Linked DNA regions of Nothobranchius furzeri. The protein of the gene in region 1 interacts with the protein of each later gene in a biochemical or structural test. Links are inferred from orthologs where the notes say so. Each region holds a gene or a part of one and is shown on either strand. Other genes may lie near its edges.

The links.
Region 2: the proteins of dlg1b (region 1) and rho guanine nucleotide exchange factor 26 interact in a test that uses a peptide from one of them, tested with the Homo sapiens proteins (2 studies listed by BioGRID and IntAct, with this or other methods). The link is inferred for Nothobranchius furzeri from reciprocal best matches to the Homo sapiens genes DLG1 and ARHGEF26.
Region 3: the proteins of dlg1b (region 1) and arhgef16 interact in a test that uses a peptide from one of them, tested with the Homo sapiens proteins (2 studies listed by IntAct, with this or other methods). The link is inferred for Nothobranchius furzeri from reciprocal best matches to the Homo sapiens genes DLG1 and ARHGEF16.
Region 4: the proteins of dlg1b (region 1) and slc16a3a interact in a test that uses a peptide from one of them, tested with the Homo sapiens proteins (2 studies listed by IntAct, with this or other methods). The link is inferred for Nothobranchius furzeri from reciprocal best matches to the Homo sapiens genes DLG1 and SLC16A3.
Region 5: the proteins of dlg1b (region 1) and kcna4 interact in a biophysical measurement, tested with the Homo sapiens proteins (2 studies listed by IntAct, with this or other methods). The link is inferred for Nothobranchius furzeri from reciprocal best matches to the Homo sapiens genes DLG1 and KCNA4.

The regions. Positions count from the first base shown.
Region 1 is NC_091751.1:34,942,010-34,946,164, forward strand, and holds the start of dlg1b (disks large homolog 1), read right to left. Parts: upstream 2,801-4,155; 5' UTR 2,137-2,800; coding exon 2,118-2,136; intron 1,198-2,117; coding exon 1,066-1,197; intron 1-1,065. UniProt on the Homo sapiens protein: Essential multidomain scaffolding protein required for normal development. Recruits channels, receptors and signaling molecules to discrete plasma membrane domains in polarized cells.
Region 2 is NC_091753.1:51,607,807-51,611,983, reverse strand, and holds the start of rho guanine nucleotide exchange factor 26, read left to right. Parts: upstream 1-1,367; 5' UTR 1,368-1,505; intron 1,506-1,855; 5' UTR 1,856-1,943; coding exon 1,944-3,302; intron 3,303-3,907; coding exon 3,908-3,959; intron 3,960-4,036; coding exon 4,037-4,177. UniProt on the Homo sapiens protein: Activates RhoG GTPase by promoting the exchange of GDP by GTP. Required for the formation of membrane ruffles during macropinocytosis. Required for the formation of cup-like structures during trans-endothelial migration of leukocytes.
Region 3 is NC_091755.1:32,511,830-32,515,901, reverse strand, and holds the end of arhgef16 (rho guanine nucleotide exchange factor 16), read right to left. Parts: intron 4,048-4,072; coding exon 3,918-4,047; intron 3,753-3,917; coding exon 3,678-3,752; intron 3,577-3,677; coding exon 3,484-3,576; intron 3,358-3,483; coding exon 3,206-3,357; intron 2,712-3,205; coding exon 2,526-2,711; intron 2,331-2,525; coding exon 2,266-2,330; intron 2,107-2,265; coding exon 2,005-2,106; intron 1,933-2,004; coding exon 1,793-1,932; 3' UTR 1,120-1,792; coding exon of another isoform or gene 879-1,119; 3' UTR 609-878; downstream 1-608. Other genes in the region: ybx1 (Y-box-binding protein 1), read left to right, coding at 1-148, 511-608, 879-1,119. UniProt on the Homo sapiens protein: Guanyl-nucleotide exchange factor of the RHOG GTPase stimulating the exchange of RHOG-associated GDP for GTP. May play a role in chemotactic cell migration by mediating the activation of RAC1 by EPHA2.
Region 4 is NC_091758.1:11,499,050-11,502,525, reverse strand, and holds the end of slc16a3a (monocarboxylate transporter 4-like), read right to left. Parts: intron 1,088-3,476; coding exon 714-1,087; 3' UTR 510-713; downstream 1-509. UniProt on the Homo sapiens protein: Proton-dependent transporter of monocarboxylates such as L-lactate and pyruvate. Plays a predominant role in L-lactate efflux from highly glycolytic cells.
Region 5 is NC_091749.1:47,038,226-47,042,386, reverse strand, and holds kcna4 (potassium voltage-gated channel subfamily A member 1), read left to right. Parts: upstream 1-1,349; 5' UTR 1,350-1,537; coding exon 1,538-3,607; 3' UTR 3,608-3,754; downstream 3,755-4,161. UniProt on the Homo sapiens protein: Voltage-gated potassium channel that mediates transmembrane potassium transport in excitable membranes. Forms tetrameric potassium-selective channels through which potassium ions pass in accordance with their electrochemical gradient.

The DNA.
Region 1 (4,155 bases):
ACGCAGGACCCAACACACACCTAACAGTTCCTAATTTTAACTCTGGATAGGGAAGCAAAAGCCCGGCTGTGACAGACCAGTGGGTCCAGCTCCTGATCGTTACAGAGGGATCTGCCAGCTGGTCCTGGAGCAGCTGGGAATCTCCTAGGAGGAAGTTACAGGAAAATCTGGGTGTGTGTGTCGAACCAGGCCGATCACACACACCCAGCTGATTGATTTAAAGATGTTGTTTACATATAAACGGGTTTATTATCACACCTGATCCTGCGGCTGGACCAGATTTGTCAGAACCAGATTATAATCTGAGAGCAGAAATCTGAAAGTTGATTCACTAAAGCAAAACTGGACAGACGCCATCTGTCTGAGGCTGTGTGTAAACCGGGCGGGTGGAGATTACTGAGGGAAATCATCATGTCCACATAGGGATTACACCCTGCTCGGCCCACGGGGCCTCTGACAGAAATGTATTTTTTTGTCAGCATCTGCCAAGACAACAAAACAAACGCACGCAGAATCAGGACGGGTTTAAGAAGAACACGCACAGGCACGCGCGCGCACACACACACACACGGATTCATCTATTCCTTCAGCAGGAGGAGAGCAGACAGGAATCCCTGAGCCAGCAGACAGAACATCAGAGGGTTCTGACCCAACAGGGCCCAAACCGAAGACTTCGCCTCTATGATCAGAAGGTTCTCAGGAGGACTTCAGTCTGACCAGATGTCCTACAGCTCTCACAGAAATACAGAAGCCATTGGTGCATCTCCAGGGCCTGGTTCTGGTTCTCCTGCGTTGATGTTTGTGAACTTTTAGAAACTGAACAGTTCCACCTACAGCTGTTCTGGTCTGGATCACAGGTAGGAGGTGAGGTTTAGAACAGGGCCTCTGGTTCTGGAGCACAGAACCATCAAAACCTTCTTCTAAAGGTTCTAGTGGTTTGATTCTAGTTTCAGAACAAATATGAACATGACAGAGATCCACATTCAAAATGTGTGAATTTTGCTGATTTTACTGCTGGTTCTGTTGGGTCCAGGCAGAGTGGCTGGGGTCAAAGTTCAGCCTTACCTATGAGAGCCTGAAACAGGTTGCTCTGGAAGATGTCGATGACCCTCTGAATGGAGTGTCGAAGCTGGCGGTCCTCTGTCTGGTTCAGCTTGTTACGGTACTCCTCCAGGAGCAGCAGAGCCCGCTGTGCATCTGGGGAGTAGGAGGAGGAGGAGCAGGAGTCAAAACAGATCTCAGACCAGCTAGCTACAGAGAAACATCTGATCCTCTGCAGCTTCAACCTCCTGCAGGAGCAGCACCTCCAAACACACACCCCTCAGTTGTTCCAGCTGCATCAGGAGCATCTGATGATGATCAGAGCTGGGCTTCAGTCGGGATTTACACCTGACACAGACCTGATGCCCAGACTTCCCAAACAGGATGGTCTATGGATAACCCACGTCTTATTCAAAGGTCATCAGGAGGTTTAATAAATGAATTAAAGAACAAAAAGCAAGTTTTAGGAATATTCTGTTTATGAAAAACTAAACACCATGAAGCAGGTTGCGGTGAAGCCTGCTGTTAAAACCAGATCACCAGTTTAACTGGTTTAAACACAAATAAACTCACTAAGATTCACAAACACAATTTAACACGTATTTAATAAAAGCTCACAAGGACAAAAGTTGAACTTTGTTTTTATGTGGGTCGGCACCAGCTGAATGGGAGGTTCTGGTAAACCCAGAGACGGGTCAGGAACTAAGTGCCTGTAAGCCCAGTAACCACCGACCCGGTCCCTTCTGGTTACCTCCGGTTTACCGGGCCTACGTTACTGGTTTTAGTGTCACGTGCTACCTGAAGCGGCTTTGTGAAGATTTTATTTAAGTTCGGAGTTTATTTTTAGGTCCAGTTTAGAACTTAGTTAGCATCACAAGCTAACTGGCTAGCTCTACTTTAACTCACTTCAGCTGGCCCGGTTCGGCTCAGGAGGGCTGAAGCGAGCTGTGTGGGTCGTGTGTAAGCCGAGCCAGAACCGGGTTAGTGTGTTTGTGTTTCTGAACCGCAATGCGAGTTTGTCCCAGCAGGTTAGCACAGTTAGCTTGATCTTTAGGAATGAAGTGAAAGCGGCTTACCTCTCTTTCTCACTGGCATGTTCGGGTTCGGTTCGGACCTAGGGACGTGATAACCACACACACCCCGCACACAGGACGGGTCTGTGGGGATAATTCCTCCAAGAGAAGCCCGCCGTCACTGCTCCAAAAAAAACACCCCACCAAGTAGTTCCTACTACCAGAACCGGTCCTCCGGGTCAAACACACAGGACTCCCGGTAAAATGTGATTATTCCAGGAAGAATCAAGCAGAAACTCCTTTGAAGGGAACGACTCTCTGAGCTGAGAGGCTCCCTGCGCCGGTGTGCAGCTCCCGGGCGGACCGCTGAGGGAACCGGGAGCGGAGCGGACCTAGCCTCCAGCAGCTGGGACCTGCTGGGCGCCAAAGTCCGGGTAAAATCCTCCGGCTGTGTCCGAGCAGGCTGCGAACCAGGCTGAGCATGCAGGAGCCGACGACCACTGCAGCTGCTGCTCCTGCTGCGGAGGAGACCGAACCAGAATCTGATCCAGAAAAGCCCCAAACTTCAAAGTCCAGCCTGGTGGCCCACCTAAAGTTGCCCCGCCCCGGTCCGCACGCTTCCGCAGGAGCCTCCGAGCAGCCTGGAAGCTGCATTCGTGTCAAACTTCCACCTCTTTTCTCCTCCTCCTCCTCTTCTCCTTCTCCCTGCACCTCCCCAGGTCTCACGAAGTCCAAACTTTCCTCCAAAATGGCGTCTCAGGAAGCTGGAAACGTAAACCATGTGATTCCTGACACTCCCCCCCCCCCCCCCAACCTGGGCGCCCAGTGATGCAGCTCACCTACGTGTGTGTGTGTGTGTGTGTGTGTGTGTGTGTGTGTGTGTGTGTGTGTGTGTGTGTGATAAATAAAGTTTCTGATCATCAAACTCACTCAAAACAAAGCATATTTATTCCAAAGATGTACTTTTTGAAAAACTGTTTATTATATCATTTTATTTAAAAAAATTTTGACAAAAATCTGTATTTGAGATGCTCTCTGTAATTCATGGATGTAGTTTTGGGGGAGCAGGTGGGGCATGTCCCCCCCCCCCCCCCCCCCCCAAACTTTCCCAAATAAATTCTTGTCCCCTGCACTTTTTGCTGTTTAAAAACAATATTACATTATATTGAAGTGAGAGTCCAGGCATATGGGTGGAGACGTATTTCATCCACACATCCTGTTGGGAAAACGCTTCTGAAAGAGGCCTGACGGACCAAGAGAGCGGCACTGAGGCAGTGATAGACCGCACCGCACCCGCCTCATCTGGGTTGAGGCGGGTGCCTCATCTTAGATGTGTGTCCCCACTTCTAAAGTCAGAACTATGTCCATGCTATAATTAATGCTTTTCTGGTTTCTGGTCAGGTCCTTGCTCAGGTCAGGCTTCTGACCAAATCACACAACCCGCTTCTCCTTTTCATCGCCTGCCGGTTAACTTCAGAGTTAATTTCATTTAAACAGAATAGAATAAACTTTATTGATCCCACAGTGGGGAAATTCACATGCTGCAGCATCTATTCTGGATCTGTCCCAGAACTCCTGATCCAGTCACTCTTTCTAGTCTCCCTTGCTGTGACCTGGTGGTTCTGGTTCAGGTCTCCAGATCTTCTGAAGGTTTTTAACTTGTCTTCTTTCGCTGATTTTTAACTGTTTCAATCCCTCTGACCTAGTCACTGATTATTTTCTTAGAGCGCTTTAACCTTTAACATTTGATCACAACACTAAACATCTAACCTCTAAAAGACCAGAACCTTTGAAATTAAAGACATTTCCACTTTAGACCAGAAAAAAATTGCTCATGAATCTAAAGTAAGTCAGACCTCCTCATCAGATTTTGAAAAAGAACTGTTCCAGAAGGTCAAAGTTCACCAGGTCACCTGTTCTGTAGGTGTTTTTGCTGCTGATCAAACTTTAAAAGTCTTTGATGTTGTATCGATGAGACGTTGAACAGCCGCGCAGGATGAAGTCAACAAGACTAGAGAATAAAATTCAATTCAATTCAAAAACACTTTATTGATCCCAGAGGGAAATTGATTGCTGTAGTAGCTCAGAATAATAATAATAA
Region 2 (4,177 bases), on another chromosome or scaffold:
AGTGCAAATGTATTGAAAGAATGAGTAAACCACAACTTAAAATTAATTATTTTTAGAAAATGCACTTTTGTTTATTTGCAAATGTATTTTGTTTTATTCCAGAAGCTAGTAGGTAATTACGTCTGTTTGCATTTCTCAAAAAAAAAAAATCCATAATCACATTTCATTTTGACTCTAAGCCTTTTTCTGGGCACATTTAACATTTTCACTATTTTCTACTGAAAATATACAGACAAATTAAATTCAATTTTAATTTGACAGAAGCAGAAAGAGTTTCATTATGAGGAGCTTAATTACTAAGACAATGAGCTGCAGGTTGTTCAGGTTCATTACGAAAACTTTTGAAAAATGTAGAAGTTGGAACATGAAAGGGGGTGTCCACGAAGGGGTTTTTACTCCATGTAAACGTCCTGTGAGGCAGATGGACTGATAAAGCATATTTAAATGAAATAACACAATGATTCACAAATAGAATTTAAACGAAATGTTTTTTGCTGTTGTCATTTTTAGTTAGTTTAATAAAAAAAGGCAACACTCTGGAAGCAAAACTTCAGATTGCACTTAGTCTGACAGATGTTTCTCAATCAATGATATGAGCTATCATTGGCAAACAGGGCAATCATGACCCCTAGTGGTCAAAAAACGACAGCACAAAAAGCACTTTGACAGTAGGGAGCAATTAAGCGCTATAAAAGCTGGCATTTACTTGGAATGAGTAATTTGTTTTTAAGCCTGGAGGAATGCATGTGTGTTCATTTAATGGGGACATTCTGTCACACACGGAGTTGTGCAATCAAAAATGCATGAAAACACGACTCACACATTGCCCAATGCATTTTAATGGAATGGTTATGAAATCTATAAATCAGGACGAGGTCATCAGAAATGATTATACTTTATAATGTTCGTCCACAGTGATGCATATGTGGGTAATAAAGTAGATTTGATACACACGTTTGAGTTTAATTGTTTTTATATAGTTCCATTTCTTGTTGTGTTCAGATATTTGGCAGTATCACAATCTACCACACGGTGGCGCCAAAGAAAAGCAGGTAAAATAGCTTTTAAAACAGGCGTGTTGGAAAAGTGGGAAAACCTTTTGGAAAATTGACTATCGAGGACTTACTTGTAAAATAACAGTTTCTAATTACACTTTTATTGTAGCCTACACCCTGTTTTTCATCACATTTGCTTGATTTTCATCAACAAGCCTGGCCAACTGCTACAAAAAGCTTCATTGTCTTCCCGGAAACCCTCTCCAATATGCTGAAGTAGAAACTATCTGAGTGAATTCCTGAACTTGAGTACTGCTGTTCCTCCTCCTCCACCTCCCCCCTGCATTCAAACTCCTCAGCGCTCCCACAGACGCGGTCAGGGTGGCAGGCATGAATCCTCTCTGTCAGTAACTCCTTAAACTTCTCTGTTTTTTGGTCATCATTTCGCTAAAAATGCGCTTTTCGGACAGCTCAGGCGTAAAGAGCACGTCCAGAGTGATAGGTTAGGAGGTAAGTTTAACTTTTAACCTGCTTTTAGTTTCTCCTGGTAATCAGAAACAGCACCTTGCCTCATAAATAGATTAAAAACAACACTAAAATCTGGTGCCTTGTTGTTTCCTGTTTGGACTTCTACAGTAACTGCTCGTCATCTCACCAGTTTGTAATTAGGTCATTTCACTATGATGAGTAAATACAAAAAGATCTGTCTTGACTGGTTTGCCTTCTGTTTTCTGACCACATGTGTCTTGTCTGTAGTTGTGTCTGCTCCAAGTCCCTGTTAATGAGTAAACGTTTGGAATTTGTACACTGTCCTGAGCTCTTGAATGCTGAGTGGTGTTTTTCCTCTTGTGCATCTCAAGCGGAGGATATCTGCTCCCCAAAAGGGCTCTGTAGTTTGCTCCAGCCTGGAAGTTCAGCCACAAACGGCAACGAGGACTCGCAACAACTATGGATATTGGCAGCGATGTCGATCTGTCCAATAATAACATCACGCCTTTGTGGAAACTGCGTACAGACCACCGTAAAAGCTCCCTGGACATGAGCAGGTCTAAGCAGCGGCCCGTTAGTTATCGCATAAACGGGGTCATGACTGCTGATGTCCCTGTGGAGGACAGCCAGCCAGCTGAGAGACAGGCGGGATCAGCTCAGTCTGCTCACAACAACACCGCGGTGATGAAGCACGTTTTACAGAAGCCCTCAAGGAAAACCAGAGTGGTTCGGAGCATAAGCATAGGCCATCTGTCCAGTGGGCGATTCTCTCTGGCCAAATTTAGATCTGACAATAACAAATCTGCTTCACTGGACAACAAAGTGTGTAATGGAGACAGTGGCAGAGGGAATACCAGTAATGGACAAGCTGTATTGTCTGAAATCACCTCCAGTCCCAAGAGTCTCAGCTTACAGAGAAAACAGAATTCATTTTCATCCGAAGCTGATCCTTTCAGCTGTTCTACAAATGTCAACAACAACAACTATGAAACATTTTCACGATCCTCTTCATCGAGCTCCTCACCGTCATCACACGGTACCCTCACACCCTCCAACAGCTCCACGTCCAGCATCCCCTCACTCTTGTCTTTGACCTCCTCTGACCCTTCCACTCCTCGCTCCCCCTCACCAGCAGACCGAGGATTTTCCCTGGTCAGGCAGTCTCGGACATCTTCCTCCTCACAAGACGCCCTGAATGTCTCATCGTCCTCTTCCATCTCCTCCACATCGCCCTTACCATCACTATCCCCAGCTGTCTCGCCTTGTCCGTCGATCATCCTGAGCACCAACAGCGCCGCCGCTTGGAAAATGGGCACCCAGCAGCTCATCCCCAAAGGCTTGGTGTCTGAAACTCGGCTGAGTAAGGCGCATCCTTCTGGAACACAGAGCCAGGGTATGACCAGGCTGGGGTTAGACCTTCCCAAGCGAGGGCAAAAAACACTCAGCATGGTGGAAACGGGAGGCTACTTTTCTACTGGAGGGGGCCACTCTGAAGAGGCAGACAGAGGGAGTGAAAGCCCCCTTTCAAGGAAAGGTTTGAGGAGTACCTCTTACAGGAGGGCAGTTGTGAAGGCAGAAGAAACGGAAATACCCTCCGTAGATCAAATGACTCATCGGTTGTCACAACCTGCCATTAGCGGGCTTACTTTGGCTATCCCAAGTTCTCCTGATAGCCCATCACATCCTGTCACCTTGAGCCCTTCGAGTCCTGGAGCAGCCATCCCTACGAGCCCCAGCACACCTAAAACTGCCAGCCCCAAGACTCCAAAGCCTCCGAGCCCTCAGGTGGAAAAATCTAAAAGCAAAAGCAAGAAACTGGTAGGTACATCTGTTATCCAAAGGAATGCTTGAACATAATTGTCTTGAGACGCCTGCATTAGTTGGACCAACTTTGAAAGGTCTTATTGAGATTTTTATTGTTTTAATCTTCATCAAATTACATTTTCCCTCTTAATTTGTTGTAAAGAAAGTTTAATACAACATTTCGCTGTTTGAAAAGTTCTTATGTCTAAACTTCATTCTGATAATCCTAGCATAACCTGTATACCTTTGTATTTTCCTTAGCTTGAAACAAGTTATGTTTTGTCTTTGTCTCAGTTAATAACTCTGATGGCTTCTCTGTGTTGCACAAAGATTGCTTTGACAGATTTTCAGTATCAGAAGGGCTAAAGTCCGAATTATAAAACCACTGCACAAGCTGACCATTGTGGAACAAACTTAGCAGCGGCAGACGTGAGGACAAGGCCTCACAGGGAAACAATTAACTTGTTTGTTGGAAGACCAGACGCAACGAGACGCTACGTCTAAACAAACACACTTAAAAACACACTGACTCTGTCATTAAATATGTGTCAGGAAAGGAGGTCAAGAACAGCTGGTGTTTTGGTCCCATGGAGTTTAAAGTTGTGACACTTTTCTTGTAGACTCTAAATAAGAAGAAACTCTTGATAGCTCAGCGGACGTTTGACAGTGAAGGTGAGACGCAGTCATCTTACTCTTCTTTGTGATCAGTGCGCTTCTTCATCTTTAGTTTTTTTTTCCCCTTTTTTCAGAGGAAGAGCTTTACCAGAACTACCAAGAGAAGGCTTTGCATAATGATTCCGATGAGGACGCCTATTCCAGGGAACCCAAACCTGATAACGGCATTGTCGTGCAGTATAGACCAATACGTACTTCTTGGAGCCAGCTCAGCG
Region 3 (4,072 bases), on another chromosome or scaffold:
GAACTACCAGAGCGACGAGGGAGAGCCTGGCAGTGGAGGACGTGACAAAGGCAGCAGAGAGGGTGGAGATAACATCCCTGATGGAGATTCGCAGCAACCACAGCGCAGACCAGCGTACCCTGGCAGACGGCGCTACCCACCATATTTTGTACGTAGTCGCTACGGCCGCAGGCCCCATACACCCAACGCACCACGCAGAGATGACTGAGGTACGCTGTCACAGGGCTAAAATCCTGAAACAGTCACCCAGTTGTCCCATTCCAAAATTAAAACCCTTTGTTGTAGACGAGCTACTCTCCTCTTCACAAACGTGGTTGTGATCAACTAATCTTGGTGTATCGGGGGTCTTGGAAGTGAGCCCCTCCTGTCAATGAAAAACAACAAAACTGTGAACAAAATCTTGAAAAAAAAAAAAAAAGAATTAAAACAAAAAACTTAGATGGTTTCAAGTTTCTAAAGTGGGTGTGTCACTAAAAAAAGCGTCCGTTATGGTTAAATGTTTGTTTTCAGGGAGGTGAGGTTGATGAGGGCCAAGGAGGTCCAGACCAGGGGAACAAACCGGCGAGGCAGAACTACTACAGAGGCTTCCGACCAAGGTTCACACCAAGGTTTGCATGTTGGCTTTATTGATGAAGGGTTGGCAAAAACTGGAGTAGTTGGTGAAGCTCTGGGTCCACTGGAGCTTCATTTTAAAAATTTGAAGTGATGACAAAACGTCACATTACAAACTTCTGTTGTTGCAGCCCAACCTCAAATTGCTGCTGTGCATTCATTTTATTTATATTTGCATGTCTTTGAAACTTCATCCAGCATCTGCAGTTAATGCAATCTTTACCCCGATTTTCTGAATCGTTCTCATGACGGTCTCTGTGCTCCAGGGGTCCACCCCGTCCCAGACCGGTGCGAGACGGCGAGGAGGACAAAGAAAATCAGGGCGGTGAAGGTGGTCAGAATCAACAGCCCCGCCAGAGGCGCTACCGCCGTAACTACAACTACCGCCGCAGACGCCAACAGACTGGTGGCAAACCAGGCCAGGAAAACAAGGAGGCCAAGACAGGAGGCGACCCACCTGCAGAGAAAACGTCCGCTCCCGAGGCCCAGCAGGGTGGGGCTGAGTAGTGAACCTGCCCACCGGCACCTACCATCTTTTACCATCGTCCGGGTGAGCAGAAGCTCATTAAGCATTTGATGTTCATGGTGCATGTCGACTAAATTATGTTTCTTTTCAACAGTTTTTCTTTTGTCAACAAGAAGAAACATCAAACAAGATCCGAGCAATAAAGATTTGACTTTTAAGATCGTCACAAGCTTGCACCACGCGTTTGACCAGATTACCACCGATTGCCTGCAGAATCTATGCAGACTTGTTTTTCTTTCCCATTATTTTTACTTGCAGCTACAAAACGTTTTGGGGAAACAACAAATGTTTTTCTAAATCTGTCCTAAGTTTTTACACCAAATGGTTTTTAAAGATGATTAAAAATGAAATTTGATATCTGGTCAGTTTGACATTTTTAAATAACTTTTTATGTATTCAGACATTTTAACAAAATGCAAGCTCAAATAAAACTCCAGAAACCAGAAAATGTGTCTGGTGGATTTTATTATTTATACAGGCACAATATAGGAGTAGTTTAATGAAGATGTTTGAACCATTAACTGTTTTATAAACTGACTACATCAAATTTTATGGCAACATTCAGCTAATAAACATCTTTCAGTCTAGTTATGGACGTCTGGGGTTCAGTGTAATTTATCTACAAGTCTGTCCAAGCAAAACCCTGACAGTTGATCAAACATTGGTTTCCTTGCGCAGGCGCTTCATACGTTGTACGTTATTCTCCATGGCGGTGGGGTCGGTGATCTCTGTGGCACAGTTAGCAGGAAACCAGCCTCTCTCACCATCCCGCATCCTCTCCCCGTAGCACCAATCTAAGGAGAGCAAACGGTTTAAAACACAGAAGCAGAAAAGAATCGGGACTAGTATGAGCTAGAAAGTCTCACCCTCCTCCTTTTGCAGAACTATGACGAGCTCAGCCTGCCGCAAACTCAGTTCATCTGGCTCTTTGGGGATGTAAGCTTTGGTGGCTTCATACTGTGGTGAACCTGAAACAGATTCCCATAATGCATTGCACTGGGGTTCACAAATCTAACTCAAATGATTTAAAATATTAAAAGAACGAAAGGAAATTCTGTGCAGCTTATCCTCACAGGGAAAAAGTCTCAACCATCATTACAGCAACTCACTGAAGTATGCAGACTTACCGTTTGTGCAGGTAAAACTGGTCTGCTTCCCTCTCAGTGCAATTATCCAGCGAGCTCGGTCCACCCTTGGCAAGAGAGAACAGTGAGCTATCATTCTGCCAGCAGAGGGAGCCAAACACTCAGAATCGTGGATTACAGGAAGGCTTTATGAGTCCAGCCTGCAGATACATGTTTACAAGGCGGTTCTTGTCCAGGTTAGAGGCAGTGTTATTAGTAGGAAACATTACATTTACTTTAGGAACATGGGAGTGCAGCAGTACCTGGAGTCAGCCACCAGAGAGGTTTGCTCTGACTTCCCCTCGCTGTTCTTACTCATCCTTAGTCTGAAGGAAAGCTGGTTGGAGTTGTATTTTGTAGGTGACACTCCTCGTACTTCTGCATCCTCCCCTAACTCCACCTCCACGTTCTCCAGAGTGGCGTAGTCCAGCACCACGAAGCTCTCCTCTCTGGATTTAAAAAAACATTACGTTCCATATGGGTAGCGTGTAGGAGTGACCGTGTTTAAAAAGCAGCATATTCCTCAGCTGTCTGCTTAAACCCTTATCGTATGCTTTCACCTGAAACCGGGTCACAGCTTTGACTTTGAACCCGGTGTTGTGGACAAACCCGTCCTCTGAGCGGACGTTGTTTGGCTTCTCCCTAACTCAAAACAGAAGTCGGTCGAGCTGACGAGCTGAATGCAAGATTGAAGAATCCCAAGTATGCATGCAACACATCCCATACCCTCTGCTCGTGTTCCTGTGACCAGCTGGGTCTGTTTAGTGTCCACAGGTCACAAAGACAACATAACGCCTCTATCAGACACTCTCAAGCTGGCTGTAAATTAGACAGGCAGCACAACTAGGTTTGAAGTACTCTGAATCAGAATCGGATCTGTAATTTTCAGCTTCATTCAGAAACTCGGGTGAATAATATGAACAAGCTCGGTGAATCCACTCACGTCTTCTTCCTGGTGATGATGAGTACATCAGAGAAGAGAAACAGGTAGTAGCTCCTGTTGCTGAACGCTCTCCATATGCTGAGCTCCTCGCTGGAGATGGAGAGCTCTCCTCGCTTCTTCAGCCATCGTGATGATGAAATCAGCGGGAAAGGCTGCGAGGAGACAGCTGTTAGTTTTCTGTGCTGATTCAGATTCATCACTGTTCATATTAAATCTGTTAGTTTGCTCGTTTTACCCTAAACGAACCGCTCTGAGCACATTTCTGCAGAAATACTCACCTTTATTTTTCCAAAATCCATCTGTTTCTGGATCGTGTACATCTGCTCCGTCCTCTCCATCCGCCTTGCACCGTCGTTGCAGCTTGTGACCAACTGTTGAGATCACAACAGCAGCAAAAACAAATCAAAACATCAACATCCTCAACACACGTGTACTGATGAGGAGTGTTTTCCACTCAGCTGACTTGTTATACCTTACTCATGGCATTCAGTGCCCAAACAGCAGAAAAATACTCCGCTGTCTGTGCTGGAGTTTTCTGACAGATTGTCTGCAAATAGAAAAATAAAGCAATTAAAGGAGTAATACCGTAGCTAAATTACTGCACGCTATTAGAAATTATACAGTCAGATATTTTTAGTATTATGTTCAAACAGCTAAAAAATCACTGTTTTTAGCTCTAAAGTCTGTTTCTACAGTCAAAGGTTAAACTAACATCGAGCAGCAGCGGCAGCCTGGTGACTCTCTGCATGGGCAGGATGAGGAACGAGAGCATGGGGAGGCCTCCGCATTCGCTGTTCGACTCGATCTGCTTCAGAGTCTCTTTAAACGCAGCGTTATTGTTCCTAAGACACAACAAGGAGAGAACTT
Region 4 (3,476 bases), on another chromosome or scaffold:
TCAAGCTAAGATGTGACTTGAACCAGTTAAGTGGAATGTGAGAATTGCCTATTGTGGATAGGGGGGAGTGACAGATGGTGTCAAATTCAGCACTGAGGTAAAGGAGAATGAGGATAGAGACCGAGCCAGAGTCAGCAACATTAGAAGATCATTAGTGATTGATCTCGTTTGAATTAAGCAGGCCATTCTGTTCTGACATGTATTTGTTCCGTTCATGTGGGCATGTTGTGGTCCCTCTGGACAGATGGTTGCTTGAAGGTGTAAGACGAACCCCGAAGCTAACACCTGACAGTGGAAGGTTATTTTAACTCAGAACGTGAGTCAGCAGTTAGCTGGTTAGTTATCCTGTTGAACCAGTAGGTCAGGTCAGTTATTCTTAATACATATTAATACATTGCAGTTATGGTCTGGTAACGCAGATCAGATATAATTTTGACAAAAATATCTAGATTTTTTTGGCTGGTGACTGTATAAAATGTCATGTCTACATTTGATGAGCCGTGTTCATAGGGCAGTACTGAAACTTACCTCCTATTTGTCATGAAGTCAATTTGCCAACATCAAATGACTTTACTGATGAAAATATGCATAATTTACATTTTATCTCCTTGCATGAGTCAACGAGAATCATGCCAAAGCTTTTCAACAAACAAGGCAATAGTATATTTCACAAAGCTATTTAGTTAGTGACCCCACCTGAATCCTCCCTGAGCCTACAAACAGGTCTCGGGACAAGCAGCCATGTTACCATTTGTCTGGGGCTCTTTCAAGAACCTCTCCACTTCCTGTGTGTCCACTGTGATGTTCTTCTGCCTGAACTCAACCCTTTCCTCCTTTTCCTTTATCACCATCTCCTGTTCTTCTCTCACCTTTTTCTCCTCATCATCGTTCACCTCTGCACTTGTGCTGCACATCTTTGAAGTACAATCGTCGGTTGCTGTGATGCTCTCTAGTTTGTCTGCTGGCTCAGGGGACCTCTTAATGAACAGAAAATTGCCGGCAGCTAGAACCACAGCAGACAGCACCACTTCACATCCCGCCAGCAGGAAGACATACATGTAGTTGTTGGTGGCATCAAGCAGCCGCCCTGAAACAAAGACAAGATCAAATGAGAGTTGTATTAACCTACATATTCGTTACATTATGGCTCAAAACCTTTTTTTTTTACGACCAAATTGTTTTTTTTACCAATGCAAAATTGCATGGGTAAAATAATTAGCTCTCAGGGTGCACAGTAAGCTGGCATGCACTCTATAAGTGAAACTGTCAACGTCCCGCTCTGTGCAAAGACAGCTTGTTTAAATTGCCCTGTGGCATGAACCAGCTACTTCCGCGGCCACACACACAACACGTCACACCATTCAGTTCAACACAGCTTTATTTACTCCTTTCCCTTCGCTCTCCTTCTCCCAGCCCGCCCAGACGTTTCTCCTGGCTTTTCAGTCCCAGCTTGTCCTCCCCTGTCTTCCTCCTCCTCCTATAGTTAGAAGGCGAGGTCTGATTATTGATGCACTCCAGCTGTGTGGCAGCGTGCCCCCTCAGTTATGCCCGCTCCATCTGCCCATGGAGGATCAGACAGTAAGCTATCTGACAGAGAGATGGTCATCCCAGAAGACAAGGGTCTCATCGGACTGTTTTGGTACCTCTGGCCCCAAATCACTCTTCCCCCGAACTGCACACAGTAGAGATACTGGCGCCTCCTCTCTTCGTGCTTTTAGGAGATTCAGGTGATAGATCTGAGTGGCTACTCCCCTGTCAGACTGCACCACCTCGTAGTCCACGTCCCCCACTCACCGCGTTACCTCAAAGGGTTCTTGCCACTTGGTGAGTAGTTTGGAGCTGGAAGAAGGGAGTAATACAACAACTTGATCCCCTGGGTAAAATTCTCATACCCTGTTGATGATGTTCCTGGGCCTGGAGCAAATGTCCTCGTGAAAGTGTTCCCAGTGTTTGGAGCTTTGCTCTCAGGTCCAGGACGTAAAGGATGTCATTTTTACTTGTGCTTGGACCTTCCTCCAAATTTTCCTTAATTAGGTCCAGCATTCCCCTGGGGGGTTCTGCTAAATAACAGCTCAAAAGGGGGAAACCCTGTGGAGGCTTGGAGGAACCTCTGGGATTGCGAACAACAGAGGGTCCAGTCACTTATCCCAGTGACGTTTGTTCACGTGAATGAGCTTCCGAATCATGGTCTTCAATGTGCGGTTGAAACGCTCCACCAACTCGTTTGTCAGCAGGTGGTAGAAACTGGTTCCTACCGATGTGATGTCCAATAGAAAGAAAAGAAAGAAGAAAGAAAACAATATTTTGTACAGCGACTCTTAAGATAAAAATCACGAAGCACTTCACAAGAACAAAAATTTCTAAAACCAAAATATATATAAAAAAAAAAAAGATTTTCCTTTAAATCTGAGACCATGGTCTTGATTCGGGAAAGGGTAGAATTCCTTCTCCGGGTCAGGGATGAGGTCCTGCCCCAAGTGGAGGAGTTTAAGTATCTCGGGGTCTTGTTCACGAGTGAGGGAAAGCTGGAGCGTGAGATCAATAGGCGGATTGGTGCTGCGGATTGGGACTATGTCTCTCACCTGGCCAGGGAACGCCTTGGGATTCCCCCGGAGGAGCTGGCCCAAGTGGCCTTAGGCTACTGCCCCCACGACCCGACTCCGGATAAGTGGATGAAAACGGATGGATGGATGGATTTTAAAATATCATAAAAAGGAGGTGAAAAACATGTGATAAAAATGTAAGGAAAGGGATTGGGAAAATAAATAAGAAAAAGGTGTATTTACGGAATATTTTCGGAAAAGGGTAGAATTCCTTCTCCGGGTCAGGGATGAGGTACTGCCCCATGTGGAGGAGTTTAAGTATCTCGGGGTCTTGTTCACGATTGAGGGAAAACTGGAGCGTGGGATCGATAGGCGGATTGGTGCTGCATCTGCAGTGATTTAAAATCCATCCATCCGTTTTCATCTGCTGATGTATATTTACGTCTTGTAGGTTTATTAATGGGCTGTGCAGTGGCGCAGTGGTTAGATGGGAAAGGTGGAATTGGTAGACAGAGCAGATAAGGAGAGGGTGGTGATGAAGGTCACACCAAAGCCTGAACAGGTGAGTTTTCAGCTGATTTTTAAAGAAGACCACTGAGTCCACGGATCTCAGGCTCAGGGGGAGAGAGGTCTAGAGTCTGGGGACCACAGCAGCAGATGTACCAGAATTATGTTAATCACATATTTTAGCTATCCTTGTTTTTAATTCTTATTTTGTATGTATTTTTTTTTACCTTGTTTTAAATTGTAATGTCTGTGCTTTATGTACATGGGACTACGGATGGAAACTAGTTTTTCTAATTCTGGTATACGTCTTGAAGGGTTTATTAATGGGCTGTGCAGTGGCGCAGTGGTTAGAGCTGTTGCCTTGCAGCGAGAAGGTCCTTTCTGCATGGAGCTTGCATGTTCTCCCTGTGCATGTGTGGGTTCTCT
Region 5 (4,161 bases), on another chromosome or scaffold:
TACTTTTTTTTTGTTGAGGAAAAAAAGTCAGTTTGGCACCATGGAGGCATGCTGAAGGGCAGATAATTGTGGATGAGAGACTGCAGCAGGTACGCAGTACCGGCTGCGTCCACTGGGGGAGGACCGAGCGCCGCCTGCGCGCTGCAGTACACGACACACACACACACACACACACACACACACACACACACACACACACACACACACACACACACACACACACACACACACACACAATGGGAGGGATACAGGAGATAGGTAGAGCTAAAGCGGCAGACAGACAGATGTGTGATGCTCAGACTGAGGCCGTTCCTTTCCGCCCGAACCAAGGTAAACTTTTACCCACCCTCGTTTTCTTCTGCTCGCGGTCGCGTGGAGCCATCGTAGATGCCAACTCGCTGCGTGAACACCTGATTCCCCAGAAGCGGTGCCGCAGAAATTGAGGCTCAAGTGCCAACAGATCCTGTTGAATTGAGACAACACGTCGACATGCACGCAGCCGGAAAAAGTGCCCTCCTCAGAGTGCGTCAGAGCACGGATGCATATGCTGGATGTGGATATGGTCGCCCGTTGGAGACGGAGACGGATTTGTGATTATCACGCCTCACAATCAAGACGAAGGTTTGAGCGCAGAAGAAAATCTGTATCCTCGCCTCCTCATCATCTTCCAACAAATGTGTTTTTAGGAGGGCTGAGGCTCTTTTGGCCCTTTACGGATGTAAGTATGGATGTCAGGATGAAATAATGGTGCTTAGTGAGAGGATTTCGTGCGAAACGTGTTTTGTTAATGCCGTCCAAGCATTAATATTAATAATAATAATAATAATAATAATAATAATAATAATAATAATAATAATAATAATAAGCGTGTGAAGTTTCGTAATATGCACAGCGATCATTAATATTAACACGTCCCTTTCTCTCGTGTTGTTGTCTAAATCCTATCCTCTCCTTTTCTCGCAGCTTCTGAGAGGAAAAGTCATTCGGATTCATCGGAGCTCCAGAATAAAGCGGAGATCCATCCAAATGAAACACAAATATAGATCTCACCTCATAAAATGGCAACCACGGGTGACCACGGAGGATTAAAGGACGCGTTTGAGCGCAAACCCTCGGTCGTGGGGGAATGAGCCACCTGATGGCCACCAGAGAAACGGAGGAGAGACTGTTTTGGTGTCGCTTGTTGACTCGGTGATTTATGAACACATAAAGCGGCGCTGCAAGTTTGACAGAGCGTCTGCGTAACAGGCTATGCCACTGGCCCTTGGATTTGTATTATCCTTATGTTTATATTTTGCTTCTAATGATGTCATAAAATCTTGGGTGCTCGAGCCACGACCATTATCTTCTATCATGTAAGAAGCTACCCAATATGGACCTTTCTGAGGAGTGTTTGTTGTTCTCACTTTCTCTTATTCCCGGGAACGGTTGATGCCTCGTGCCCTCGCGTCTCTGCGCGCGCCGAACTGCAACTTTTCTCCCCTGCTCTGCATCCACACCTTGTCGTGGCGCTTACTGCGCCGCTGATCGACTGAAAATGGAATTTGCGATGGTGGGTGCGGACGGAGGGTGCAACAGTCACCTGCCTTACGGATATGCCCAAGCTCGCGCACGGGAAAGGGAGCGCGAGAGGGAGCGCCAGGCTGCCCAGTCGCGAGCGGCGGCTGCAGCGGCCGCGGCCGAAGGATGCTCTGGTGCGGAGGGAGGAGGAGGAGGAGGAGGAGGTGGTGGAGGCGGTGGTGTAGGGGGGTCCACCTCCACCGCCTCCTCGAGCGCTCATCTCCTTAACAATCGCCAGCATCAGTCTCGCGCCGCCTCCTCCTCCGCGAACATCAGCAGCAGCGCCGCCTCGCGCCCCTCCTCCTCCTCCTCCCAGCATCAGCAGGAACCCGAGCAGCAGCACAGAGTTCTCAGAGAGCGGAAAAAGCAGCGCGGCGTCGGACGGTGGAGGCGCAACCGGAGCACTCTCGGCGGGGACCTGCGCCACTCGGAGCTGGCGCTGCTCGGATCCGAGGAGGACATCATGATAGAGGAGGAGGAGGAGGAGGCCGAGGGAGCGGAGGAAGAGGAGGAGGAAGAAGGGGAGGCGGCAGAGGGGGTTCGAGGCAGCAAAAGGTCGAGTTTTCTGTGCAACATGGATGATGAGGAGACGGTGTCGATCACCGACCGGCGCCCTCAGTCCGGCTACGAGAACGTTTACAGCGAGTGCGGCTGCTGCGAGCGGGTGGTCATCAACGTGTCGGGGCTGAAGTTTGAAACTCAGCTCAAGACTCTCACTCAGTTCCCAGACACCTTGCTGGGAGACCCCGACAAGCGCATCAGGTACTTCGACCCGCTGAGGAACGAATACTTCTTCGATCGAAACCGGCCGAGCTTCGATGCCATCCTGTACTACTACCAGTCAGGGGGGCGCTTAAAAAGACCCGTGAACGTGCCGTTTGACATCTTCTCAGAGGAGGTGAAGTTTTACGAACTCGGCGAGGAGGCGATCCTCAAGTTTCGGGAAGATGAGGGTTTTGTGAAAGAGGAGGAAAAGCCTCTGCCGGAGGACGAGTTCAAGCGCCAGATCTGGCTGCTGTTCGAGTATCCGGAGAGCTCGAGTCCTGCCCGGGGCATCGCGGTGGTGTCCGTCCTGGTCATCGTCATCTCTATTGTCATTTTCTGCCTGGAGACGCTGCCAGAGTTCAGGGATGAAAAAGAGTACCTGCAGCCACGACACAACTCTTCTCAGCCGGACCACGGCTTCACACCCTTCAACGACCCGTTCTTCATCGTGGAGACGGTCTGCATCATCTGGTTCTCCTTTGAGATTATAGTGCGCTTCTTTGCAAGTCCGAGCAAAACAGCTTTCTTTAAAAACATTATGAACACGATAGACATTGTATCCATTTTGCCTTACTTCATAACTCTTGGCACGGATCTGGCGCAGCACCAGGGCAACGGGCAGCACACCATGAGCTTCGCCATCCTGAGAATAATCCGCCTGGTTCGGGTGTTCCGCATCTTCAAGCTGTCCAGACACTCCAAGGGGCTGCAGATCCTGGGTCACACGCTGCGCGCCAGCATGAGGGAGCTGGCTCTGCTCATCTTCTTCCTGGTCATCGGCGTAATCCTGTTCTCCAGCGCGGTGTACTTCGCTGAGGCGGACGAACCCACCTCTCAGTTCACGAGCATCCCCGACGCGTTCTGGTGGGCCGTGGTTACCATGACGACGGTTGGCTACGGTGACATGAAGCCCATCACTGTTGGTGGGAAGATAGTTGGTTCGCTGTGCGCGATCGCGGGCGTGTTAACCATCGCGCTGCCGGTGCCTGTCATAGTGTCCAATTTTAACTACTTTTACCACCGAGAGACGGATAACGACGACCAGCCGCCCGCCGTGGTGGAGAGCATGCCCCCGGGATGCCCTTATTTCCCTGACTTTCTAAGAAAATTCAAAGGTTCACCCTCTGGCTCATCGCTGGGTGACAAAGCGGAGTACATGGAGATGGAGGAAGGGGTGACGGAGTCGCTGTGCGGGCTGGACAAGAGCCCCAGTAAAGGAAACGGCACAGACATAAGCAGGAAAAACAGTACTAACTCTAAATCCATTCAGACTGACGTGTGATTACAGTAGTTTATTATTATTAGTGGTATTGTTTTGTTTTCCAAAGAAGAAAAGCATCTTGTAGAGACACTTTCTGCTCAACAGCAGCGGAATCCCCTCCCCAACCCTCCCCAAACACAGGCTTTACGCACGCGTCAGAGTGCACACAGACACACACAGATTTACGCACACACATACACTCACACATAAACACGAAACTAATTGGCAAGCTCAAAAGTTTTCTCTTGACACAATCATAATCTATAATTTATCTAATTTATTGGTAAATATATTAATTTATTCTGTGCGGGCTTCCAAATCTGACAGATCTAAATTAGAAACAGGCTATGCATTCGCACTTTATGAGTTTCATCTGTCACACCAGAGGGTTAGGGACGATCTTTTTGCTGTTATGCAATACAGTTTAAAACATGTTTGCACTAATGTAGAATTTGCGCTGGGTTTGGCAGATTTCTATGTAGAGACAGAAACTGTAGGCCATGCAGGCAACACGGTAGGCACCTTCTGCTCAGCTGGAACACGAATGAGGATTTTAACACTCAATTGGATTCTGA